Arabidopsis thaliana: one gene and its partners. The protein of the gene in region 1 purifies or fractionates together with the protein of each later gene. This does not show direct contact. Each region holds a gene or a part of one and is shown in the gene's direction. Other genes may lie near its edges.

What was found.
Region 2: the proteins of TPLATE (region 1) and AT5G57460 fractionate together in Arabidopsis thaliana (co-fractionation; one large-scale study listed by BioGRID). This does not show direct contact.
Region 3: the proteins of TPLATE (region 1) and AT5G24710 fractionate together in Arabidopsis thaliana (co-fractionation; one large-scale study listed by BioGRID). This does not show direct contact.

What each region holds. Positions count from the first base shown.
Region 1 is NC_003074.8:275,887-285,656, forward strand, and holds TPLATE (ARM repeat superfamily protein), read left to right. Parts: upstream 1-2,995; 5' UTR 2,996-3,284; coding exon 3,285-4,418; intron 4,419-4,522; coding exon 4,523-5,119; intron 5,120-5,287; coding exon 5,288-5,649; intron 5,650-5,737; coding exon 5,738-6,041; intron 6,042-6,143; coding exon 6,144-6,266; intron 6,267-6,423; coding exon 6,424-6,873; intron 6,874-6,952; coding exon 6,953-7,513; 3' UTR 7,514-7,765; downstream 7,766-9,770. Other genes in the region: BET10 (bromodomain and extraterminal domain protein 10), read right to left, coding at 47-168, 266-332, 417-532, 616-699, 1,125-1,208, 1,295-1,343, 1,421-2,500; AT3G01790 (Ribosomal protein L13 family protein), read right to left, coding at 7,994-8,212, 8,643-8,754, 8,869-9,035, 9,237-9,308, 9,650-9,697. UniProt on the Arabidopsis thaliana protein: Functions in vesicle-trafficking events required for site-specific cell wall modifications during pollen germination and for anchoring of the cell plate to the mother wall at the correct cortical position.
Region 2 is NC_003076.8:23,271,842-23,279,170, forward strand, and holds AT5G57460 (muniscin carboxy-terminal mu-like domain protein), read left to right. Parts: upstream 1-3,268; 5' UTR 3,269-3,479; coding exon 3,480-5,420; 3' UTR 5,421-5,647; downstream 5,648-7,329. Other genes in the region: GS1 (Haloacid dehalogenase-like hydrolase (HAD) superfamily protein), read right to left, coding at 63-210, 313-373, 483-707, 981-1,059; XRCC3 (homolog of X-ray repair cross complementing 3 (XRCC3)), read right to left, coding at 2,167-3,081.
Region 3 is NC_003076.8:8,463,889-8,471,328, reverse strand, and holds the start of AT5G24710 (Transducin/WD40 repeat-like superfamily protein), read left to right. Parts: upstream 1-3,155; 5' UTR 3,156-3,408; coding exon 3,409-3,540; intron 3,541-3,625; coding exon 3,626-3,710; intron 3,711-3,791; coding exon 3,792-3,831; intron 3,832-3,921; coding exon 3,922-4,170; intron 4,171-4,485; coding exon 4,486-4,585; intron 4,586-4,697; coding exon 4,698-4,772; intron 4,773-5,350; coding exon 5,351-5,449; intron 5,450-5,846; coding exon 5,847-5,963; intron 5,964-6,044; coding exon 6,045-6,160; intron 6,161-6,247; coding exon 6,248-6,347; intron 6,348-7,003; coding exon 7,004-7,362; intron 7,363-7,440. Other genes in the region: AT5G24740 (vacuolar protein sorting-associated protein, putative (DUF1162)), read left to right, coding at 1-19, 103-207, 363-432, 565-1,256.

The sequences.
Region 1 (9,770 bases):
GCAGTTTATAAAACCAAACTGGTACAAGGCAGCAATTTTGATTTACCTCAAGCAATGCCTGCCGGGCTGCTTCTCTTTCAAGTTCCAGTTTCCTCTTAGCCTCTTGTGCCTCAGCTTTTCTACGAGCTTCTTCAGCTTCCTTGGCTTCTGCTTGTAACCGTGCTTTTTCTGGTGCACAAAACAATAAGAGGACAAGTTTATGTACGTATATACTACTTGGTATATATCATCAATCAAAAAATCGAAACTAGCAAATCAAGAATACCTTTCTTCTTTTGCAATTCCAGTTCTTCCTTCTCACGTTGCAGTGTCTCTGGGTCTCGTTTCTCATTCTGATCTCACAAATATAATTTTGAAAGTCAAAGAGGGAGGGCTAACCAGATATAACAGCTCACACCTCCACAAACACAGCTAACCTGATTAAGAGTTATCTCTTGAGCCTTCAAGATTATATCCGCAAATCGATTTTTCAATAGAGCAGCCCTGTAACGCTTTTCTGGAGGTAGTTCCTTCTCTTTTGGAGCACTATTTCCTAAATTATTAATGGGTCAAGAGTGAGATGCCACCCTCAGATATTAGAGCACAGATATTTTTCTGCTACACTTCTGAGCTTACCATCTTGATGACCATCTGCCCCCTCAATAAGACTTAGCTTCCCTCTGGATGCATCTTCCATCTGATTCAATCCACCGACGGAATCTGCTTTTAGAAAGGGAATAAGAAAACCAAGGTTTATTAATTAATATCAACAAAACTTAACATCTTTTGCACCAAAAGAGGAGTAATCACTGATTAGAGATAATATGATCACTATAGAAAATAGCAAACAGCGACCTGGGAGTAAAACAAGCAGAAAATGTAACAGGTCTATCACTATCATACTAGGTGTGTAATATGAGTTGCTATCAGTAAGGTCAGTAAGTTTCACTCCAAAAAAACTACAGAAGTAACATTGAGTATTCTAGATGGACGGCCACTTCTGACAAGAGGGAAGTAAAATGGTTCCGAGGGTTAAGTACATATAAGAATTGCAAACATCAAACGTCTGCAAAAGCTCCATAGAGAAAAAGACAAATACAATGTAGCAAGATTAAACAAACCACTGTAGTTCTCTAACGCCATACCTTTTTCTGTTCTGACAGTTGAGATGTGAGATATAGGGTGCTCATAATTACCAATGTCAACATCCTCGTCCTCCAATTCACTCCCTGCAAGTAACGAGGAGGAAATGACAGCTTAATCATAGAGTAGGACATGCGAATTAGCTCAAACAACAAAACCAGTGTATGCTAACCATCACAGTGTTGCGTCAATGAATTTCCTGGCCCTGACCCATGTAAAAGCTACATCAAGAAAGTTTTCGCTGTTTATCAGTCATGTTAACAAATGGATCAAGAATGAGATATAGAAAGGTGATTACCTCTAACACACAGGGTTCACCGTTTGAATCTTTCTTTTGATTTTCTCGCAGAAACTCATCAAAGAGATCCCGCAACTGGAACAAGGCATCATGACTGAGATCATTGATGTCAATCTCTATCTCATCATCTCCAGATCTCTCTTCCTTGGAGCTGTGATCTCTCAGGAAATTTATTATCTGTACAGGGAATTCTGTCAAGGACCCCAAATCTCTGCCAAGCTTTACTCTATCCTCATCTGTCATAACCCGCTTAGCAGGCTCTAAGAGGCTGTTACGTTTCACAGCATTCATCTTTCTCTTCTTAGCCACAGGCTCAGGTATCGCAATATCTTTGTGAGCAAGAGTAGCCAAGTTACTTGGTTCAGATTTGGTTCCGGATGACTTCTTCTCGATAGTTTTCCATCTCACTTCAAAAAACTTGCTGAGAGTATCAGCGAAGCGATACACATTATTATCTGACGGGTTATAAGTCATAGCATTGCGGAAAGTAAGACGGACATCAGCAGAAAACTCTGAAGGGCTTGAATACGTGCCGGAAGTTAACTTGCTTTTAACAGTTCCTAAATCCATAGGATGTTTGATAATGGTGAAATAATCAGGAATGTTGAGCTTGACGACGTCCACAGGGGTATTAAAGAGCCAACAATGCTGCTGCGACATCAATCGTTTAAGGAGGCTCTCACATTGCTTCATCCGAAGCATAGTGGAAGTGGTGACTGGCTCTGGTTTGGTTGCTGTGAAGGGGAGCACCCTTTTTCCAGGGCCAGTAGAGCATCGTGACATTCCAAAACTCTTGGGGCGAGACACATTACTTGCAGGTGTACTAGTAACAATCTTAGATATAGGAAGAAGGTCCCCAACACTCTTCTGAAAGGACCGTAGTTGTTCCAGCTCCTGACGAAGCGTATGAATCCACTTTCTCCTTTCTGATGATGACAAGTCAGACAAGGGTAAAACTATTCTCGGGACACCAAAAGTTTCATCATCCTTGGAAGCATTGGGGCTATCATCACAGCCGCCGGGAGAGTCAAAACTGTTACGATTATAATCTCCTGGGAAACCACCGTTCCTCACAGTCATGATATCGCCCACCGAAGTGCGAACCTGCACAAATCAAAATATTTAAGTCAGTTTTGAGAAACCCTAACTATGAAAACCTGAAAGCAATTCAATTCTTAGAGCCCTATAGTATTGCTGGAGGAGAGCAGTGAACACTCAATATGCATAAAAAAGGAAATTCGGAACTAACCAACTCGAAACACTTAGCAAGCGATCGAACCGGAGCAGAAGTAAGAGAACCGAGGAACAAGCGTAAATCTTCTCCAGCAGAAACAGATTAACGCTAGAGATTGGTGTAGAAGATGATGATGAAGAAGAAGATAGAGTAAAACCCTAGAGTGGAGACGAAGAAGACGACCGAGAAGTAGAGAGAGAACAAAATCGCTCTCTGCCCTCCCTTCTCTAGTGTCCCGTCCCTAACGAATGCTGCGTCTAACGCCGTTTTGCTACTGGGCAGGACTCAATCTGGACCGTCGGATCTGATCCCTCGAATTAAAATCGAATGCAAATACTTCGGTGCATAAAAATAATATCCTGGGCTTATAATGTAAAGCCCAATGAACTTTTTAATGTGCCTTTATTGGGTCTACGGATGACTCAACACGGCACGCTGTGAAAGCTCGAATCGCAGGAACGGCACGCGCTTTTTTCCTTCGAAAACAATTTCTTCTCCTTCTTCTTCAATTGATGGTTTGATTTACACATCCTTCTTCTTCCAGTTCCATGTCGCATACGTACACAGATTGACAGCGAAGCTAGTTAGCTCAGATTTTGGATCTCGAATTTCAGTTAATTCGATCCGGTTATGGACATTCTTTTTGCTCAGATCCAGGCGGACCTCCGTTCAAATGACGCGCTTCGCCAGTCATCGGCGCTTCTTCAGGCGCTGCAGCAATCCGCCGCCGGAAGAGATATCTCTGTGATCGCTAAGTCTGCTGTGGAGGAGATTGTTGCTTCTCCGGCTTCAGCTGTTTGTAAGAAGCTGGCATTCGATCTCATCCGATCTACCCGCCTCACTCCGGATCTTTGGGACACCGTTTGCTCAGGTGTCAAAACGGATCTTCATTTTCCGGACCCGGATGTTACCGCCGCTGCCGTCTCCATCCTTGCGGCTCTCCCTGCCTTCTCGCTTCCTAAACTCATCTCTGATTGCAGCTCTGAGATTGCTTCCTGCTTCGATTCTCCATCTGACAACCTTCGTTTTTCCATCACCGAGACACTTGGCTGCATCCTCGCGCGTGATGATCTCGTTACTTTGTGCGAGAACAATGTGGGTCTCCTCGACAAGGTCTCCAACTGGTGGGCTCGGATCGGCCAGAACATGCTCGACAAATCCGACGCCGTCTCCAAGGTTGCCTTTGAGTCCGTCGGCAGACTCTTCCAGGAGTTCGACTCCAAGCGGATGAGCCGTCTTGCTGGCGATAAGCTCGTTGACAGCGAGAACTCCCTCGCCATCAGGTCCAAGTGGGTCTCTTCCATGGTTGACATTGTATGGAGAAAGAGGAGCGCTTTGATGGCTAGGTCTTTAGTCCTTCCTGTCGAAACCTTCAGAGCCACTGTTTTCCCTCTTGTCTTTGCTGTCAAAGCTGTTGCTTCCGGTAGTGTCGAAGTGATTAGACAGCTTTCCAAGGCTTCCTCTGCTGCTGCTGCAGCTAATGCCACCGTTGTGGACTCCAACGCCGAGAAGCTGGTTGGCGTCTCAGATTTGGTTACCCATTTGGCGCCATTCTTGGCTTCCTCTTTGGATCCAGCTTTGATTTTTGAAGTGGGAATTAACATGCTCTACCTGGCAGATGTTGCCGGAGGCAAGCCAGAGTGGGCTTCACAGTCCATTATTGCAATTTTAACACTCTGGGACCGCCAAGAATTTTCCTCTGCTAGAGAGAGTATAGTCAGGGCCGTTGTTACGAACCTGCACTTGCTTGATCTGCATATGCAGGTATGTCGTTTTTTACTTCATTTAAGCTCGGTTAGTTGTGTACCTTTGTCTTGAAGCTGTGGCCTATGATTTCTGAATCATTCTTTTTGGAATTTGTTACGAAGGTTTCGTTGTTTAGAAGACTGCTGCTTATGGTGAGAAACTTGAGAGCAGAATCGGACAGGATGCACGCATTAGCCTGTATCTGTCGGACAGCTCTCTGTGTTCACCTTTTTGCCAGAGAAAGTGCCCGAAGAGGTCAGAAGCCTCTGCCTGGGACAGATATTATTTCTCTCTTTGAAGATGCAAGGATTAAAGATGATCTCAATAGTGTTACCAGTAAGAGCTTATTTCGGGAAGAGCTGGTGGCAATGCTTGTGGAAAGCTGCTTCCAGTTGTCTCTACCTTTGCCTGAACAAAAAAACTCGGGTATGGAGAGCAGAGTGATTGGTGCGTTAGCATATGGTACTGGTTATGGTGCTCTGAACTGGACAGAACCAGCCCTTGAGGTTGTGGAAGTTTGTAGGCCTTGTGTCAAATGGGATTGTGATGGCAGGACGTACGCTGTAGATTGCTATTTGAAATTGCTTGTTAGGCTGTGCCATATCTATGATACCCGTGGAGGAGTGAAGAGGCTGAAAGATGGTGCTTCCCAGGATCAAATATTAAATGAGACACGATTGCAGAACTTGCAACGTGAGCTTGTTAAGGATCTCCAAGAGGTAATTAAGCCTCAGCTGAAAGTTAGAAGTAACCCTTGGCAATTTTCCTCGAAGAATTTTAGTTAGGCTTTCTTAAGTACTATTTAATACTAAATGTGGAGGAGAACTATTGCTTGTGGACTGAAACGTGGTCAATGTCTTATAAAAATCTTGATCTCAATTTGGCAGGTAAATACCCCAAGAATCCTCGGGCGTCTTATATGGACAATCGCAGAACATATTGATCTAGAAGGTCTAGATCCACTTTTAGCTGATGACCCCGATGATCCATTGAATATTATCATAGCAAACATACATAAGGTTCTCTTCAACTTGGATGCCGCTGCTACTACATCGAATAGGCTACAAGATGTTCAGGCAGTCTTATTATGCGCCCAGAGGATGGGATCGCGTCATGCAAGAGCTGGCCAGTTATTAACCAAAGAGCTTGAAGAGTATAGGAACCATGCTGCTGCAGATACAGTTAGCAAACATCAAACCCGTTTAATATTGCAGAGGATCAAATATGTTTCAAATCTTCCTGAAAGAAAGTGAGCTTTCCCTTGGCTTGTAATCCTTTTATTATGTGAGTTTTACTGCATTTCTGGATTGGAACTCAGACAACCTATTATTTTCCAGGTGGGCTGGAGTTAGTGAGACAAGAGGAGATTACCCGTTTAGCCACCATAAGCTTACTGTTCAGTTTTACGAACCATCAGCTGCTCAAGACAGGAAATTAGAAGGTCTAATTCACAAGGCCATTCTCGAGCTTTGGAGGCCAAAGCCCACTGAATTAACTCTCTTCCTTACAAAAGGGGTCGACTCAACTTCTATCAAGGTTCCTCCCACAGCATATCCTTTGACCGGAAGCAGTGATCCTTGCTATATAGAAGCTTACCATTTAGCAGATACAAATGATGGAAGGGTCACTTTGCACTTGAAGGTTGGTATATATTCTACTGTATCATCCTGCAGTTACTTGAATACAGTTTTAGTGGATAAAGTTTTAGCGTCTCAACACCTTATACTTTATGTTACCTTTCAGATTATTAATTTGACAGAACTTGAACTGAATCGTGTGGATATACGGGTTGGATTATCTGGTGCCCTATACTTCATGGATGGCTCTCCTCAAGCAGTGCGGCAGTTGCGTAATCTTGTCTCACAGGTTGCATGTCATTCTTCAGTGCTTATATACTCCCATCTCTTTACAGTTCTCTAATTTCTTAAGTCTTGTCAGTTGGAAACCGTTTCTGTTCTTACCAATCAATCAGTTTCGTATATGTTAGCTGTATTATCATGGACTCTGTGATTTACTTTTGTAGGATCCTGTACAATGCAGTGTCACCGTTGGTGTGTCCCAATTTGAAAGATGTGGTTTCTGGGTTCAAGTCCTCTACTATCCATTCCGTGGTGCTAGGGGAGAATATGACGGTGACTACATAGAAGAGGATCCACAGATCATGAAGCAGAAGAGAGGTTCAAAAGCAGAACTCGGAGAGCCTGTGATCTTAAGATGTCAGCCTTACAAGATCCCACTGACTGAGCTTCTTCTACCGCACAAAATCTCACCAGTCGAGTTCTTTCGTTTGTGGCCTAGCTTGCCAGCTGTTGCAGAGTACACTGGCACATATATGTATGAAGGAAGCGGCTTCATGGCGACCGCCGCACAACAGTATGGGGCTTCACCATTTTTAAGCGGACTCAAATCATTATCCTCGAAGCCATTCCACAGAGTCTGTTCCCACATTATACGCACAGTTGCTGGCTTTCAGGTGAACTTGGTTCTGTTATTCTTCTTGTTCCTTAACTGGATTGATGGTCTGATAAACCCCTAACTTGATGTCACTACAGCTTTGTTACGCTGCAAAAACGTGGCATGGAGGTTTTGTGGGTATGATGATCTTTGGCGCTAGTGAAGTGAGCAGGAACATGGATCTGGGTGACGAGACTACCACCATGATGTGCAAGTTTGTGGTTAGAGCATCAGAAGCATCAATCACAAAGCAAATAGAGTCGGATATTCAGGGATGGTGTGATGATCTAACTGACGGGGGCGTTGAGTACATGCCAGAGGACGAAGTGAAGGCAACCGCGGCCGAGAAGCTGAAGATCTCTATGGAGAGGATAGCTTTGTTGAAGGCAGCTCAGCCGAAGAAGACTTCAAAGATAGAGGAGGAATCAGAAAACGAAGAAGAAGAAGAAGGAGAAGAAGAAGATGATGATGAAGAAGTAAAAGAGAAAAAGGAGAAAGAAGAGGGAAAGGACAAGGAAGAGAAGAAGAAAAAAGAGAAGGAAAAAGGAACATTTTCTAAGCTGACAGCAGAAGAAACAGAGCACATGGCGCTTCAGGCAGCAGTGCTCCAAGAATGGCACATCTTGTGCAAAGATAGAAAATATACCAAAGTTAACTAAGAGCGAGAGTACTTTTTTCTCAGATGAAGCTACAACAATCTTTGTTTTCTTTTGTTGTGTGTGGTTTCTTCGTAGGTTTAGATGTTTTGTATTGTTGTTGGTGAAGAAAAGAAACAAACCAAGGATGTTACTATTGCCCTTTTTTACGAATTCTTCCGTCTTATTCACAAATTTCACACGTTTATGGAACCAAGGATGCATTTACCCATTTTCCATCAGTAACATTCTGTAGTCATGCAGTGTTTGGCGTGAGATTGCTCTGTTTTTTGCAACGAAGAAAACTGAAAGATAACCAGAAACAGATCCATGTTTAAGGAAGATGGTTTTGGCTTCATTTGTGATACAGTGTTTGAGATCCAGAAACAGGTTTATTGTCTGAGAAACAAGAAAGCCTTAAAAGCTTATCCACGTCTGCATTATGAACTTTGCTTACAAATAAAAAGACAGTCACATCACTAGCTTTCCTCTGAAGTAATTCCTCTACGCAGGTACTTCAGAGAGGGTCCTCTTCTTTCCTTTCTTTACCTCTGTTCCCTCATTTTCTGCCTGCTCTGCCTTCTTCTGCGCACGGATCATTGCTCGCCTTGCGCGCGGTCGCATCTCTCTAACTCTACGAGGCGGCATCACAAATGGCTCAAGTGGCTTGTCCCCAAAAGGATGCTCACCGCCTTCAAATATCCTCAGCTTCCGATCCCTGTCCTATACCCACACAAAGCAACAAAACCTCAGCACATTCTTGTTTTAAGCAACACATCCTAAACTATGCGAGCAATTCATTTAGGAGCTGAGAAGCGAGAATGTATCAGTACAAACAAGCCACTATTCCCACCAAAGATAAAGGACAAATAACAAAATGGTAAAACCAAGAGTTCAGAACAATCTTCCTTCCAAACCTAAATGATTTTCAAAACAAGGGTATATCATCTCATTCGATAAGACCGATTTGTGAGGAGAGACAACCTTTCTAGACATAGGACACCAAGAATCTCATTCCACACAACTCATGATGGATATCAACAAGTAAGAGTAAAGCCAAGGTGTGGGGTAATATCTGTAGCCAGAAAGTCAGGGATCTAAAAGACTGAGGATTCAGGTGATTAGAAAATGTTTCAGTTTATAGTGTACTCACATCACGCAAATTGTTACTTGGAAGCATGCGCCAGACAGCCTTACGAATGACCTCTGTGGGATCTTTGGCCATCTGATCTTTCAGACTCCGTTCCTTCAGGTGTCCGATGTACCTACAAAGAGAGATTAAATAAAGTAGATGAAAATGGGAGATACTAAAAGATATGATAAAACACTTGTAGTAGCTGAAGATTCACAGGAGCATTAAAAGAAAGAGTGCAACTTGCCCAGTATGCCAACGGTAGAATTTGTCAGTGAGCTTTCTTCCTGTGAAGCCGATTTCCTTAGCATTGAGAACAATACAAATATCGCCATCGTCGCGGTTAGGACAATAAGTAGGCTTATCTTTGGCTTGAAGCACGGTTGATATCTGGGAAGCTAGTCTACCAAGAACCTAGAGTAGACAAGTTATATTCACAAATGAAATCCTAGCAATTCAATTCAGATTTAATACAAAGACACAACAAAGATAAGGCATCCTATCTAAAATCTGGAAATGTTTGCCACTGTAGTCATGTAACTAACCAAGCATAAGAAGAAGAAAGTGGTAGAAGAAAGAGAGAGTAGATTGGAAGAGAGGTAGAAGAAAGAAAACCTGGCCTCTGGCATCAAAAACACGCCAACGAAGACCGTCGAGATTGATACGCTTTATACCTGCCACAGCTTTCTGCACAAAGACATACTCAAGATCAGCAACAAAACATAATACAAAGAGTAGATTGGAAGTTTTTTTTTAATAATAGAAAGGGGTCCATTTTCGAATAAGTTTGTAGCATCTACTCAATTTCTAAATTGCATAGCATAGGTGTGACACTCTCTGACCGTAATGGAGAATAGATGCAATGGGAAGTGATCATTGTTCCAAATGATTTTAAGTAGAAAATGCATAACACGTAGAAGAAGACCTAAACGTGGGAATCGCTCACTGGTTGATAGTAATCTAAGGTGATTTGGCTAAAACTGATCAAAAAGCTGGAGATATGGAAGGAAGAAGTAATCATTTTATACCTTTAAGTTGCCCTTGAATGAGGCAGCAGCAGCAGCCTGAGTCGCCATCGTTCTTCAGCTGTTTGTTAGACAAAAAACAAAAAACAAAACTGAGAATGTGATTTCAGTTATACAGATTCGT
Region 2 (7,329 bases), on another chromosome or scaffold:
CTCATTTTAAATATGAACTAGTTAGTAATGGAGAATCTTGGAGACTGTTGCCTGTTAGTTACCTTAAATCTCCTAGCAGCAGCGAGAAACCCGTCAGGAGCAGGCTTTCCTTGCTTCACCTCTGGATCATCACCACGAACTACGTGATGCATCAATGAGAAAAGCTCTCTGTGTCTTTGGGTTTTCAGATCATAATGCCGTGTGTGAGTACTGCAAGCGTACAATCAAACATAACAAGTCAGTTTCTGGATTGTAAAGGACAATGAGAATGCAAACTAAATGGTATATTATGAGATGAGGTGAAGAGATTACCCGGTAGCAATACATATTGGAATATTCTTTACATGGAGATGCTTAATGAGTCTACTAGCCCCTGAAAATGTGGAAGAGAATTGGTTCATGACCACATCAAAAACATAAATATCCGTACATGTAATCTTCCTGTGAACCAAATGTCATGTGTTACAAAAAGCAGAATCTACCTGGCATGAGCTCACTAGTAGGGAAAAGGTCTTGCAACATTGACTCTCTCTCGACAAGAAAGTCCTCAGCTGAAAGAGAGTCGCTAATCCCGCTTTCTTCAACAAAGATCCTGGCAGCTTCTATTGCTTTTCTACCCATCATTTTAGCCTTGAGAGACCAATCAAACTTTTTATTGAACCTAGCAAGTATAATCTCTTGGACCTCAGTGTAAAACTTCTCAGTATCTGCAACAGAAACCAAATCAGCATGAATGTATGCAGCAAGAGCAGATAAGCCAATGAAGTTGTGAGATTTTGAATACACAGAACAAAAACTCAATCGCTCGATTTCCGATCAGATTCAAGCTAATTGCTTTAGCATCTTAACATCAATTGTATGAAATCAATCCTGGAAACTAAACAGTCACTACTAAAAAAACCATCAAATCTAAACAACGATAGTGACAGTAGTACGATCTAATAAAGCTGGAGATTGAAGATCAGATGCAAGGAGATTACCGAGAAGAAGACCGTCCATGTCGAATATGACGTGAGTGATTGATCCTCTGCCGGCGGTGACGGCTGCAGGATTCGACATTGTTGATTCGATACCGATAACGACGAACCGAATCCAGTTTCAGTCGGAAGTTAGTTTTTACGCTGGAGAGTGATGTCACTATGACGTATAACAAAAGGTTCATGGGCCGTATCTTGTAAATGGGCCGGTTCACATAGAGAGTAGAAGTTTTGCTCATAGTGAAGAGTGCTAATAAGAGATGTTGAAACTTATACATTGGAACTAAATATGTTTAGTCTTCTTCTATACAAAATAAAAGTGAAGATTCGTATACAGAGCTTTTGTTAATCCAAAGACCAACAACGGCCAAAAAATTTTTCCTCTTGTAGAGCTCCGTCGTGTCCTTCAGATGATTCAATGGTTGTTTTTAGCAACAGCCTTAGGCGGAATCTCTCATTCTTGTATACATCAGAGGCTGAATTGATCCTCTCGAACTGCAGTTGATTCCTCTGCCACTGAATAACCACGGAAAAATAGAAAACAATCGAAGTGTTAAAGATCTTTTAGCTACAAGTAATCTGTTTTAACTCCATTTGCTTACCAATAGGACAATGAAGTATGTTAACTAGATTAATTACTTATGGCACTTATGAAGGCATGCATCATCATATTTTGTGGTTTCAGTCATTTTCTGGTTAGAATCGAGAAATTAGCTACAGAGTTCAAGTGAAAATAAATACAAAAACCATATCCACCAGGATGATCAACACTACCTATTCATAAAGATATTACGGCCAGATATAAAGATCACATCAGCAATTTACTCAACAAATGAAACGATTTGAAGATAGCAACCAAGTGGGAAATTTTCGACTTCGTGCAAATTCAATGATGCAAAGAAAAGAGAATCAGAGAACAAAGTGAGAAGCTTGCAGTAGACTTAGGAGCTAACAGGAATCTTTTAAAAAGCTTTATTATGAATAATTGAACATAGAATGCTTATAAACTAAAAACAAGCACATATCACATCTAACCAAGAGGAGGAATCCGAAAAAATAAACCTGGCTTTGCTGCAACCCATCTCCGGATCCTTCTGCAATGTACATAAATAATGGCTAATGAACAAATACTCCAAAAAATCCGGTGATGCTTCGAACAAAAACTATCCTACATAGCACCCGAGTTCACCTACGCTTGAACCGCACAAATCCCCTCTCGTGTGATCATGAACTCGCAAGAACTCCCAGGCAAATAAGGTGAAAACACTATGTCAAGCCGTCTCTTAGCACTTCTGGACACAGAACTTGAACAATTCTCGTCCTTTTCACTTCTATCTTTAACAATACTACCATCACTTCGTGAAATAAAAAATCTGGAATTCACACAATTAGCCCAAGCCAAGCCTAAAGAAGGAACAACTCGTCTTCCAGACGAATACAAATACCTCAAATTCCCAATCCTCAGCCCACTTAACCCATCAGAAGTTTCAACCAAATCCGTAACCTGATTCGTAATCACAATAGCCAAATCAAACTTGCTAGCCAACTGCTTCAATTTCCCAGATATCTTGAAAAACAAAGAAGATCTCTTCTTAAGATCAGACGGAGTATTATCAAACTCCGATCTAAACAATGCCGCTACAGAATCAAGCACAATCAACTTCAACGGAAACCTAGTTTTCGAATTCCCAACAAACCCATCTATCCTAGGCATTATGTCGAACAGGTGGTCTACAGAATGGACATTTTGTACAAACACATGATCACAAGGATTATCATTGTAATTCGCGTAAATACTAGGGTTTGATTGATGAAACGTGTGCGAGAGCTGATGGAGACGACGAAACGGAAATGGGAACTCTGAATGGAGATAAAGAGAAGAACCGTTGAGTCCGCCGTGTGAAATCGGAAGTTGGGTACAGAGCGAAAGCTGAAGGCAGAGCTGTGTCTTTCCGCAGCCACTCTCCGCAACGATTTCGGTTAAAGAATCGCAGGAAATTCCGCCGCGAAGACATCCGTCGAGGATTTCACAGCCTGTGGTTAGTTTACGATTCGTCGGCGATCGTCGGAGGAGATTCTCCGGCTTAATTTTCCCATTTTGCATTTCACCGCCAAAAGCTACCAATTAAAAAAAAATCGCAAAAGTTATAAGCGCTACAAAATTTAAAAAGACCTAATCGCGTTAAACGACATCGTTTTATCATATTATTGGGCTTCTTACCTTGACATTAGGCCCAATAAGTTAAGAATAAACGTCTACTATTGGGCTTATTTTCAAACCATCGCATTAGGTCCATGCAGGTAGGATACGAGTAATGAAACAAACGACGTCGTTTTCGAAAGAAACAACGAAGATCTCATTTCTCTTTCTCCTTTTCTTCTCCGACGATTCTTCTCAGTTCTCAGATCTGATCGATTTCTTCATCAGATGTTTCAATCTAACCATTGAGATTGAATAGTCACCATTAGTAGAAGCTTCGAGATCAATTTCGAATCGGGATCATGTCGTGTTTAGCCCTAGCTCTGCAACCAGCAAATGGATCCGACATTTTGCTCCAAACTAGAGAATGGTTTCCACCAGCAAGAGCCTTAATCGCTCTCTCGTATTTTCGTCAAATGCGTCAAGCATTAGCGTCCTCGAAGCAGCAGCATCAGCAACAATCGAATCAGAAACAGAATCAAGCTTCTTCTTCTTCTTCTTCTTCTTCCTCCGTTGCGGATCCTGACGATGCCACGGCGGCGGAGTTTGTAGGTGATGATCCACTCGCTGCTTCTAATGGACAGGTTATTGTTGGTGTTGAGAGCAAGTATCGTGTAGTTTATAGATTAGTGAACTCGATCTATATCCTTGGTGTTACTGTCGCGGATCATGATAATTCGATCAATGTATTTGAGTGTATTCATATTGTGAATCAAGCTGTTAGTGTTATTGTTACTGCTTGTCGTGGAGTTGAAGTTACTCCGGAGAAGCTTGGACGGAAGTATGCTGAGGTTTATATGGCGCTTGATATTGTTTTGCGTGGTGTTAGTAATATCCGTCTTGCGGCGATGCTTGGTGCTATGCACGGAGATGGGATTGCGAAGATGGTTCATTCGGCTCTTGATACTGAGAATAAGATCCGAGGAGCTGATAGTTGGATGGCTGTTGAATCGCATGCGGCAGAGCATCAAGCTTCTGTAAACGCATTTTCTAATGCAAGATTTGAATTGCCTCCGGAGACTGTTGCCGCTGGAGATGAGTTCGCGGCGAGCTTGGCTCCAGTGGTGCCTGAATCAGAGCAATTGAAGGAAGAACCAGAGCCGGAGAATAAGGATCCTTTTGCGGCTAGTGAAACGATTAACAAGGAGAAAGAACTTGTGGGTGGATTCAAGAAGACTAAGGATCCGTCCTCAACGGATTTGACTTTGGCATTGGCTGGACTTGAAGTGACGACATTACCTCCAGCCGAGGCAACACAGTCTACGCACATCAATGTGGAAGGATTCGAAGGGCAGTATGGTGGGATTGAGTTCAGCAATGAACAGGCTACGATTGGAGAAACTTTTGAATCGTTTAGTGATGCTTGGGGAGGTGGGTTGGATCCTTCAGAGTTTATGGGACCAAAGAAGATTCAGAAGAAGGAAGGACTCGGTGGGCTTGAGCTGTTGCACACCAGTGATCCGAAAGCAGTGGAAGGCAAAGATGGAGTTAATATCGATAACCTAGTTAAGAAGCCTGAGATGAAAGGTCCTGAAATGTATATCTCTGAGGAAATTAGAACCGAGTTTAGAGAATCCTTGCTTGCTAGAGTAGGAGTAATGGGTGTGATCTATCTGAAAACGATGCCACCCAAAGGCTCTGGTGAAGAGAAAGAAACTGAGTTCTCATTCCGTGTTGAGGGTACTACTGCAGTTAAGAGATTTGCTATGCAGAGTTCTCGGATCAGTAGCTTAGGGAACGGTTTGTTTCACGTGAGAACTGCTCCATCAGAAGAACCAATCCCTATCCTTAAATATAGCTTGCAACCTAAACTAACCCCGTTGCCTCTTAGAGTCCGAATGGTGAAACGAATCAGCGGGACTTTACTCTCACTTATGATACAATACGTCTCAAATCCGGATCTACCTCAGCCTCTGAAAAACGTCGACTTTATCCTAAAACTCCCGGTTGATCCCACATTGCTTAAGGTTTCGCCTAAAGCAATACTGAACAGAACCGATCGAGAACTGAAATGGCAAATTCCGGAGATTCCTCTGAATGGAAGTCCCGGGAGACTAAGAGCACGGATGCCTATCGATTCAGATAACAGCGAGGAAGAACCAGATATCATCTGCTATGTGAAATTCTCGGTACAGGGAAATACTTCTCTGTCTGGTATCAGTCTACGTGCAGCTGCTGAGGGAAATACAGATTTCTTTGAGGTAGATCACAGGTACGAAACCGGAGTCTATATGTGCAATTGATAAAAGTTTCTCTCTAAAAGATTTACATTGTTTATAATTTTCTCTAATGTTCTTGAGTTTGGCCTTTGTTGAGAGTTATTCTTTTTTTTGGTATGTGTCATGTAAGGTTTTGTGTACTTGTGTATCTTGACCTCTCTTCATTGTTATGTTATCTGTTTTACTCGATTTGCTTTTACATTTTTATATTATTGAAATGCGGATTACAAAATTTAAGTTTATCAAATATACTTTGCAAAATGGTAAAGTGGAAGATTCTCCTAATTGTTGTGATGAAAGTATCAAAATAATTGTGGTGGTTGTTGAAGTACAAAGGCTATTATTATGTAAAGACAATCACAAACATTTTGAAATTGTTGATCTCTAAATATCATATTACATTATACATAACAAACTTAAGACAGTAAAAAGTATAGATGTTTTGATTGATCAGAACATGTAATATAGTCTTGAGTACTAAGGTTGATATAGTGTCATAATCTAGTGCCCGTTTGCAAGTTGTCGCAATTTTTTTTGATGTAAAATAGTGCATGCAATGACCTATTTTTTAGTGACATTAACAATAACCACTATGGTTCTAGTATCATCTCCCTCGAATAAGGCCTTAACCCCATTAAAGATTTACACTATGGTTTTAGTATGATCTCATCTCCCTAGTATACAACACATTTTGTGTAGCTTTACTATACATCATGTTTATTTTAAAAAGTGGGATTGATTCCACATGATTCTTAACATATAGTCATATAGATCTTGCTCCTGTCAATTACATGATGCATTAAAAAAAATCAGCTGAGTATATTAACAATTACGAAAAATACTAATCTCACATCATACCAGCGCGCCGAATTAAATCCATAGAACATGTCATTCTTAGGTCAATTATCCACTATGACATTTCTTTATTTAAAATGATAATGTCATGTGGGTATTAAGCACCAAGTACAATCCATTCCTAACTACGGGTTACAAAATTAAAATATCAATAATAATTTACATATTTGTCTCTTATTTGTAGAGTGACATGTCTAGTTGTCCAGATTTAATATAATAAACTAGTTGATTAATAGCAATTGCTTGTAAATTACTCAAAAAGTAAGCAGAAGCTGTGGGATCCTAAACACAAACCTCTAAAGAGATGATGAAAAAAGAGATATTGATCAACTTGGCCTACCAAATCGTCAACTTTAAGTCTTTAACACTTCACATTTGATTAATAAAACATATAATTTGAGTGTTCATTGACATATAAGAACGTATTATATTGCAAGCTAAGGGATGAATTCTCAACCCCAACCGGCCATACCTAATATATGACAGCTCTATTTATCACTACACAAAAAGGACCAATTATTTGTTTGGTTTTACACCTATTATAACAATCACTATATTACATAAAATGGCGAGTACATGCTATACACGAAGGTCAGTTGGAGCAAGATGTCTGAAAACATTTTTAAGTATTCATTATTCAATAATGTCTTGACTCGAGAATCATGTGTCTTCACTCTTCAATAATAATCCATAGTTTTATCCGTCTTGTTTATATGCAAAACAATAGTAGCCACTGTATTTTCAGTATTTTAGTAGATGAGATTAGGTGTTTGGGTTATTAGCCTCTTTAAGACTGGATAACTTATGCATTAAAATTATTAAAAGTTTTAATTGCTTCCAAACCTTCTACAATAAACATATCACCATCCCACCCAAACACCTGGTATATGTGTATAGGCAAAATACTAGTATTTAAATATTAACATGCTATTGACTAACACATGGTTATAGTTTGACAAATATTTGGTCCAAATTATTTTATGCATAGTGATAAATGCTAATGGCACCCAATGAGATCCACTTTTGCATTTCCCATTCCCCACATAGAAAAATCTTCATCAACCATTTGCCTTTTGAA
Region 3 (7,440 bases), on another chromosome or scaffold:
TAGTAAAGCTGCACACAAGGTACGATGCATCTGTTTGCTTAAAAATCTATGGTGTAGACGCCTCCTTCAAGAAATATTTACAGAATTACCAATTCGTTGCAGGGTATTGTTGCATTTACATTCAATGACCATGATGTTGCAAGGATGGAGAAGCAGCAATTGGGTGAAGGATCGCGTAGCAAAGGAGTTATAGGTGAAGTGTTTGAGGTATGTTATTTGCACTTTCTTTGGAAGTATGTCTTATATACTGATTTGATGTTCACTTAGTCTTGAAAGTTACTTGAAGTCAGTGACTTCTGTCAAATTCTTCTGAACTTGCATAAAGAATTTAAGCATGCCAGCTGACACGATGTTCATCACAGGGACTCACTGGTCTCCTTCAATCACCAATAAGAGGAGCTGAGAAACATGGTCTTCCAGGCGTTATCTCAGGTATTTAAGCGAGAACCACCGCTCAAGTCATCTATAGACATTCAAGACATTTGATGTTCGTGTACACGCTGTCCTTTTGTTTCTGGCTTTCTAATTTTATGCATGTTAACTGGGTGCCTATATATGGTTCAGGAGTGGCCATGGGGATTACTGGACTTGTGGCCAGACCAACCGCTAGTATCCTTGAGGTAACTGGAAAAACCGCACAGAGTATAAGAAACCGAAGCAGGATTCATAACATAAGATCCCAAAGGCATAGGCTTCGTCTTCCGAGGCCTCTGAGTAGAGAACAACCTCTCAGGCCTTACTCATGGGAAGAAGCGGTCGGGACAGCAGTACTTATGGAGGTTGGAGATTCCCTGAAGTTCAAGGGCGAGAAGCTGGTGAAGTGCAAAGCCCTGAAACAAGAAGGAGCTTTCGTTGTAATCACAGGGAGACTGGTATTGGTTCTAAGCAGCCTGAGCTTGGTAGATTTCAGAAAACAGGGATTTCTCGGAGTTCCAATAGATTTGGTATGGAATATCGAAAGAGAAATCGGTTTGGAGAGTGTAATACATACAGATTGCAGCGGTGGAGTAGTCCGCATCATAGGAAGCAATTCAGATGGTGTATGGAACTGGAGACAGGACCAGCAAAAGAAGAGCAGCCCGACCAAAAAACGATGGAACAATCCTTCAGCACAGCCGCTTCTTCAGACTAACTTAGAGTTTCCATCGGAGGAAGAAGCAGAGGACTTGTTGAGTGTGTTGTTATCGACTATTGAAACTGGGAAAAGCCGGAGCTGGCACAGTCGATTTGTTTTAAGTCGAAGTAACATCACTTAAACCGGAGACTTGCGTACATAAGAATACAGTAATTCTTTAATTTTCTTTGTGTACAAAAGTGGCTTTATGAAACTAGTTTTAGAATATATGGTCTGACATGTTTTGGCTATAAAATTTTTTTTAAAAAAAAAGCGTAATAAATCGAAGTGTATTGTACATGGATTGTCAGGCATCATCATGATGCTCATATATGTGGCATCATCATGGTGATGCTGTTTTTCATGCGGGAGAAATGTTTTTACCAACATCAAATCGTATTGCTGCGGAGTTGAGAGGGATATTATGGGTACTACACAGTCTATGTGATCTACACTTCTATAATATTGAGATTTGGTCCGACTATGGTGCTCCTATGGAAGCCATTAGTGACCCATTAGATTGGCCACGTATTTATCTTATCTTGATAGGATTCATTGGTTTCTCCCGAATTTTGATAAGATCGTATTTAAGGTTTCATCGCACGAGATATAGCCACAAGCGTAATGAGAGAAGGTCGATGCAGATCATATTTAGCTCGTGGAAGTCCGATGTGGTTACACTCGCATTGAAGAAGACAAGCGGCGTTGATTTTATTGTTCTTTATTAAGTTAAGATCTTCTATAAGTGTATGAGGAAAACAAGTTTAGACGGGAAAAACAAAAAATCGAAGTGTATTGAGTAAACTTCAATGAAACCTGTAAAGAAAAAATTAAATTAAATTGAAGATTAAATAAGACTTTAATTTTGATTGCAAATCTTTTTATCGAATTCTAGATTTAGTTGTAAACATAGTAAACCCTTATTACACCAAATACTATAGTCATTTTGTTTGAGATAATTCATTTGGAATTCTCTTTAAAAGTTTAGTGATCGGAGGCTTCTCGATTTTCTCTCTCTTCTCTCACTTGAATTTTTCAGAGAAAGAAAAAGCGATTCATGGCAAGACTCCGTCCAACATCGTTCGGCTTCTTTAACGACGATGGTTGGTTCGTTTCCAGCATCAATTGGCTTCTTTAGTGGTGGTGGCTGGCTTTTGTATCCGGACGTGGTCCGGCTTTGCCGTCTTATCTCGCCGTCTGGTTTCTACTTTTCTCTTTAGTGGAATCCGGCTTTAGTTTCCAGTTCTTTGATACCGGTTTTACCTTTCTGCTTTTCAATAATCATTGTGATCTTAGTACCAATTTTTTTTTGGGTTTTCCTTATCATCCTCTTTTCTCAAGCTTTTTTGCATCCTTATTTAGATGAAAGTCAATCTTTGTTTCATTTCTAATCTTTACCTTTTGGGTTTTAATCAACTATTAGAGTTTGTTTCAACCTAAATCGATTCTCTCAATCCTTTGATTTAGAATCTCAATTCGGCATATCTGGTAAGATTTAATCATCAAGAGAAATCATGGTTTTTTATTTCTCTTTTGTCATAGATCGTTGCTGTTCTGGAGAAATTTAGATCAAATATAAACTCTGGATATTGTGGAGCAGAGAGTCAGATTTACAAGCGTGATGAGATTGTCGTAGAGGAAATGGTGGGTTATCGGATTTGATGGTGGTGCTGGGAGATAACGATGAAACAATCATCGGCGTAAGAGAAAAGTCACATCCACGTGTCGTATGTTGCTTTGACTTGTTTTATTAGCGCTGTACTCTTTACTACAAGGTGTTTAGTTGTACCCTTTATGGATTTGTGAAATACTTTGATGACTGGGCTTTAGTGATGTTTGTAAACCCATAATTTGAATAAAAAAGAAACTTATGAACAAGAAAAAAAAAAGTTCAGTGATCCAACGGATCCACAATTAATTTCCGTAAATGGAATATATTTTGCGACAAAGGAAAGGGCTAAAACAATTGTTATTGGGCCTTTTTTTTTGGGTTAATCAGACTAGCCTTCGCAAATTCGCGCTTTACGCGTTTCGCGTCTGAAGACACTACCGGAGTTTTTGTTCGGCGATTGTAGTTAGTGGTGGTGGATCCGGGCATTTCATTTGATAACCGCGGTGGATCTAATTGATCTGGATCTGACCATAGCCCTGCTTGCTTTTTCTGGAAATTTTTAGTGTGTAGCTCTGGAGAGTTTCTCGTGAGTCGAATCGTCTATGCGGATGCAGTTGTGCTCAGATTTTTGAGTTGTCTAATTGATCTTGAAGAACTGTGAGAGAGAGAGAGAGAGATCGAAATGTTGCGGGCGAGAGCATTTCGGCAGACCAATGGTAAGATTGTGAAGATACAGGTACATCCTACGCATCCATGGCTTGTTACGGCTGATGATTCAGATCACGTCTCCGTCTGGAATTGGGAGCATCGTCAGGTCTGTATCGAGATTCTGATTTGATTTTGGTTCCGGTTCTGATTTCGAATCGTGGATCTGTCAACGTTTATGTCTATTGTGTTAGGTAATTTATGAATTGAAAGCCGGCGGAGTTGACGAGCGCCGTTTAGTTGGTGCCAAGTTAGAGAAGCTCGCCGAAGGAGAATCCGGTGAGCCATTGTTCTATTCTGGTGAAATGAGTATGAGTTTCTGATGCTTTATGTTCTTACTGACATTCGTATTTTCCTCAGACTATAAAGCTAAGCCTACTGAAGCCATTCGAGGAGGAAGGTAGTAGATAGATCTTTCTCGCTGCTAATTCAGTTGCTCCTTTCGATAATGAGAAAAATGACTTATCTGCTCAATGTTTGCACCTACTAGCGTTAAGCAGGTGAAGTTTTATGACGATGATGTGCGTTATTGGCAACTGTGGCGCAACCGCTCCGCAGCTGCTGAATCTCCATCAGCTGTCAATCATCTGACATCTGCTTTCACTTCCCCTGCTCCATCGACTAAAGGCCGTCATTTTCTGGTCATTTGTTGTGAGAATAAAGCTATTTTCTTGGATTTGGTGACAATGCGTGGTCGTGATGTGCCAAAGCAAGAGCTTGATAACAAGTCACTTCTCTGGTAAGTTCATTGCTTTTTCTCTAATTTTAGGATATGGGTTTGCTTGACACCTGGACCCCGGGGAAGATGCTCCATTACTTTAGGCTTCCTATCTTTAAATCACTTGAATCCTGGAAAGACCTCCGTTAGTTACTACGCTGGAAATATTTGAGTCAAATGTAGACTAGGCATAAGTGTAATGGATATGTGTGTTCTAAGTGTAATGGATACCAGGCTTCCTTGATGTTTAATGTTCAGTCAATGGCCAAACTCCCTTTCTACATTTTTAATTTCTACTCCTCCTTAATGTTGCTAGAATTCTTCCTTTCTTTGCAGCATGGAGTTTCTTTCGAGATCATCTGGTGGTGATGGCCCTTTAGTTGCATTTGGTTCAACTGATGGTGTCATTCGGGTTTTATCAATGATAACATGGAAGGTTTGTTTGTTTCAAAATTATATTTTTTTTTTTTGGTTTCTCTGCTGGGTTTAGAGTGAGGGATTTTGATACTGATCTGTGTTAATTTCCTTGAATGTTTACTTCCTTGCAGCTTGCACGTCGATATACAGGTGGCCATAAAGGATCCATTTATTGCTTGATGAATTTCATGGCATCATCTGGCGAAGTAACTACATATTCCCTATATATGCCCTCTTTATTGCTCTGAATTTATTTCGAGTTATTTACTTAATATGTTAATAGTTAATACCATCTGATAGATGAAAGTGTCATGTAACTTAGAAAAACATACTCAAGATCACCTACTAAGATCGACTGTATATATTATATGAAAACGAGGTCTTGAGCATATCGTCTTGGAAGTTTCCTACATATATCTCTTTCTTCTTAGCGACGTAAAAATCTCACATTCTACTAAGTGGGAGTCCAGACCGCAGCAGGCCTTACTATACGGATACCTGTTTTACAATCCAAATATCTAGCCTTAGTTTCTTAGATCATCTGTACTCGGGTTAAATTTCATGCATAGCCTAGGCATTAGGAGCGGCGGGAATTTTAAACATTGGCATCTCTTTTCCCAATTGCTTGTTTAGGTTATGTTAATAGCGAATTTCTGATAGTACTGGGCTTTCTTCCCTTTTATATAACTTGACGTTTTTTAATGAATGCTTATCAAGTATTTTCTCTCTGTTATTTATGTGCAATACATGATACTAGCCATCCTCTATCTAAATGCAATTGCAGGCACTCCTTGTTTCAGGTGGCAGTGATGGCTTACTTGTACTGTGGAGTGCCGATCATGGCGCTGACTCAAGGGAACTTGTACCCAAGCTTAGCTTAAAGGTACTCAATTATGCCCACTCTTTCATTCAAAGTTCAAGAGAGGATATTACCATGACCGTTCAATTCTTAGGCCTGGAAAGATTTGCCAGATTTGGTTACAGCTGAGGCTAAGGCACCATTGTTCTTAGTTCCAGTGAACCTTCTGAATTGATTTCTGTGTCTGTTTCTGAATGTTGGATACTTGCATTTAGATATTCTTTCATTCTTTTTATAAAAGGCTGAGTAATGATTAGGGGACTATGACATGCTCGTGCTTTTTTTTTTTTTTTGGTGTAATAGACATGGTCATGTTTGCTTAATTGAGTGGATAATTTCCACTTCTCTGTTATACTTTTTTTTTTTTTTTTTCCTAATCCCTTCTTGGCTTCTTCTAATGTTTTTGTTCTGATTGTATTAGGCACATGATGGTGGGGTGGTGGCTGTTGAGCTGTCAAGGGTAAGTGGGAGTGCTCCACAATTGATTACAATTGGGGCTGACAAGACATTGGCCATATGGGATACAATGACATTTAAGGTAATGGTGTATCTCATGTATGGATTTTTCATATTTTCCCGATCTCATTTATTAACATGCATATCTACTTTTATTCTACAGGAGCTACGTAGAATTAAACCTGTCCCGAAACTAGCTTGCCACAGTGTTGCATCTTGGTGTCACCCTCGAGCGCCAAACCTTGATATTTTGACTTGCGTTAAAGATTCACACATATGGTATCTTTGTTTAAGATTTGGTATTGTATATGGTAGAATATATTTATGTATATTAGATGAGTGGTCTAATTGTTTGAATTTTTGCAGGTCTATTGAGCATCCAACTTATTCGGCCCTGACAAGGCCGTTATGTGAACTTTCTTCCTTGGTTCCGCCTCAAGTACTTGCAACCCACAGAAAACTTAGGGTAATTAGCTCATTGTTGATGAAATCCTCGAAATCTACCACGTATCATATCATTTCTTTCTGCCTGCTAGTTGTATACTATATCAATAGCTCATGCTCAAGCCTGAGCATGAGCATTGCTCTCTGAGGCTCCATTCTATGTGTCCCACAAAACATTAGTTTCTCTTCTTATCTCGTAAAATGCATCTATTATGGTTCAAATGATGAAGTTGTGTAGCTGTATAATATTGCACTTGGCAATGCAAAGGTATTCTGACTCAAGTAGACTAGGAATAAGAATAAGAATAGAATACAACTGTTTGTATTACTTCTTGCAGAAAAGTTTTGTATATAGCAGACTTTAAATTGATAGCTGTTTGAACACTAAATTTATCTAAAAGAAAATTGCAATGGAGAAGATACGTAATCTTTATGTCAGATGGTGATAGGGAAAGCACATGCTGCACCCGAAAGTTGAAAGTTATTCCTTTTTCAGAATTTGCAGATAATATTCGGGGTTCATTTTCTACTTGAAACCGCCAGTTGATGATTTTCAAAGATTGCTAGTTTCTTTATTGCATAATTATAATAGCATTGCTTCTGTACTTCTTTCGCTTTCATGGCTTCCATACATTGGTAGTAACCCTCATCAGGTACTTATTAATTTCCATTTTTTAGGTCTATTGTATGGTTGCACATCCTCTACAACCACATCTCGTCGCAACTGGTACCAATGTTGGTATTATAGTTAGTGAATTTGATCCTCGTGCTATCCCGTCTGCAGCTCCTCTACCAGCACTGCCTGGAAGTCGGGAGAATTCAGCTATATATATCCTTGGAAGAGAATTAAAGCTCTTGAACTTTCAACTATCCAACACAGCCAACCCATCCCTTGGCAATAATAGTGCCTTGTCCGAATCAGGGCTTTCTAAGGGAGACCCAGGTGAACAGTTAACTGTAAAGCAAACCAAAAAGCAGATCGTGGCACCAGTTCCACATGATTCATACTCAGTTCTTTCTGTGAGCAGTTCAGGGAAGTAAGTTCCTTAGCTAATTGTTTTTTATGAATATAATTTTCTTCTTAACTCAGCTAATTTGTTGAGTTTTTTTTTTTT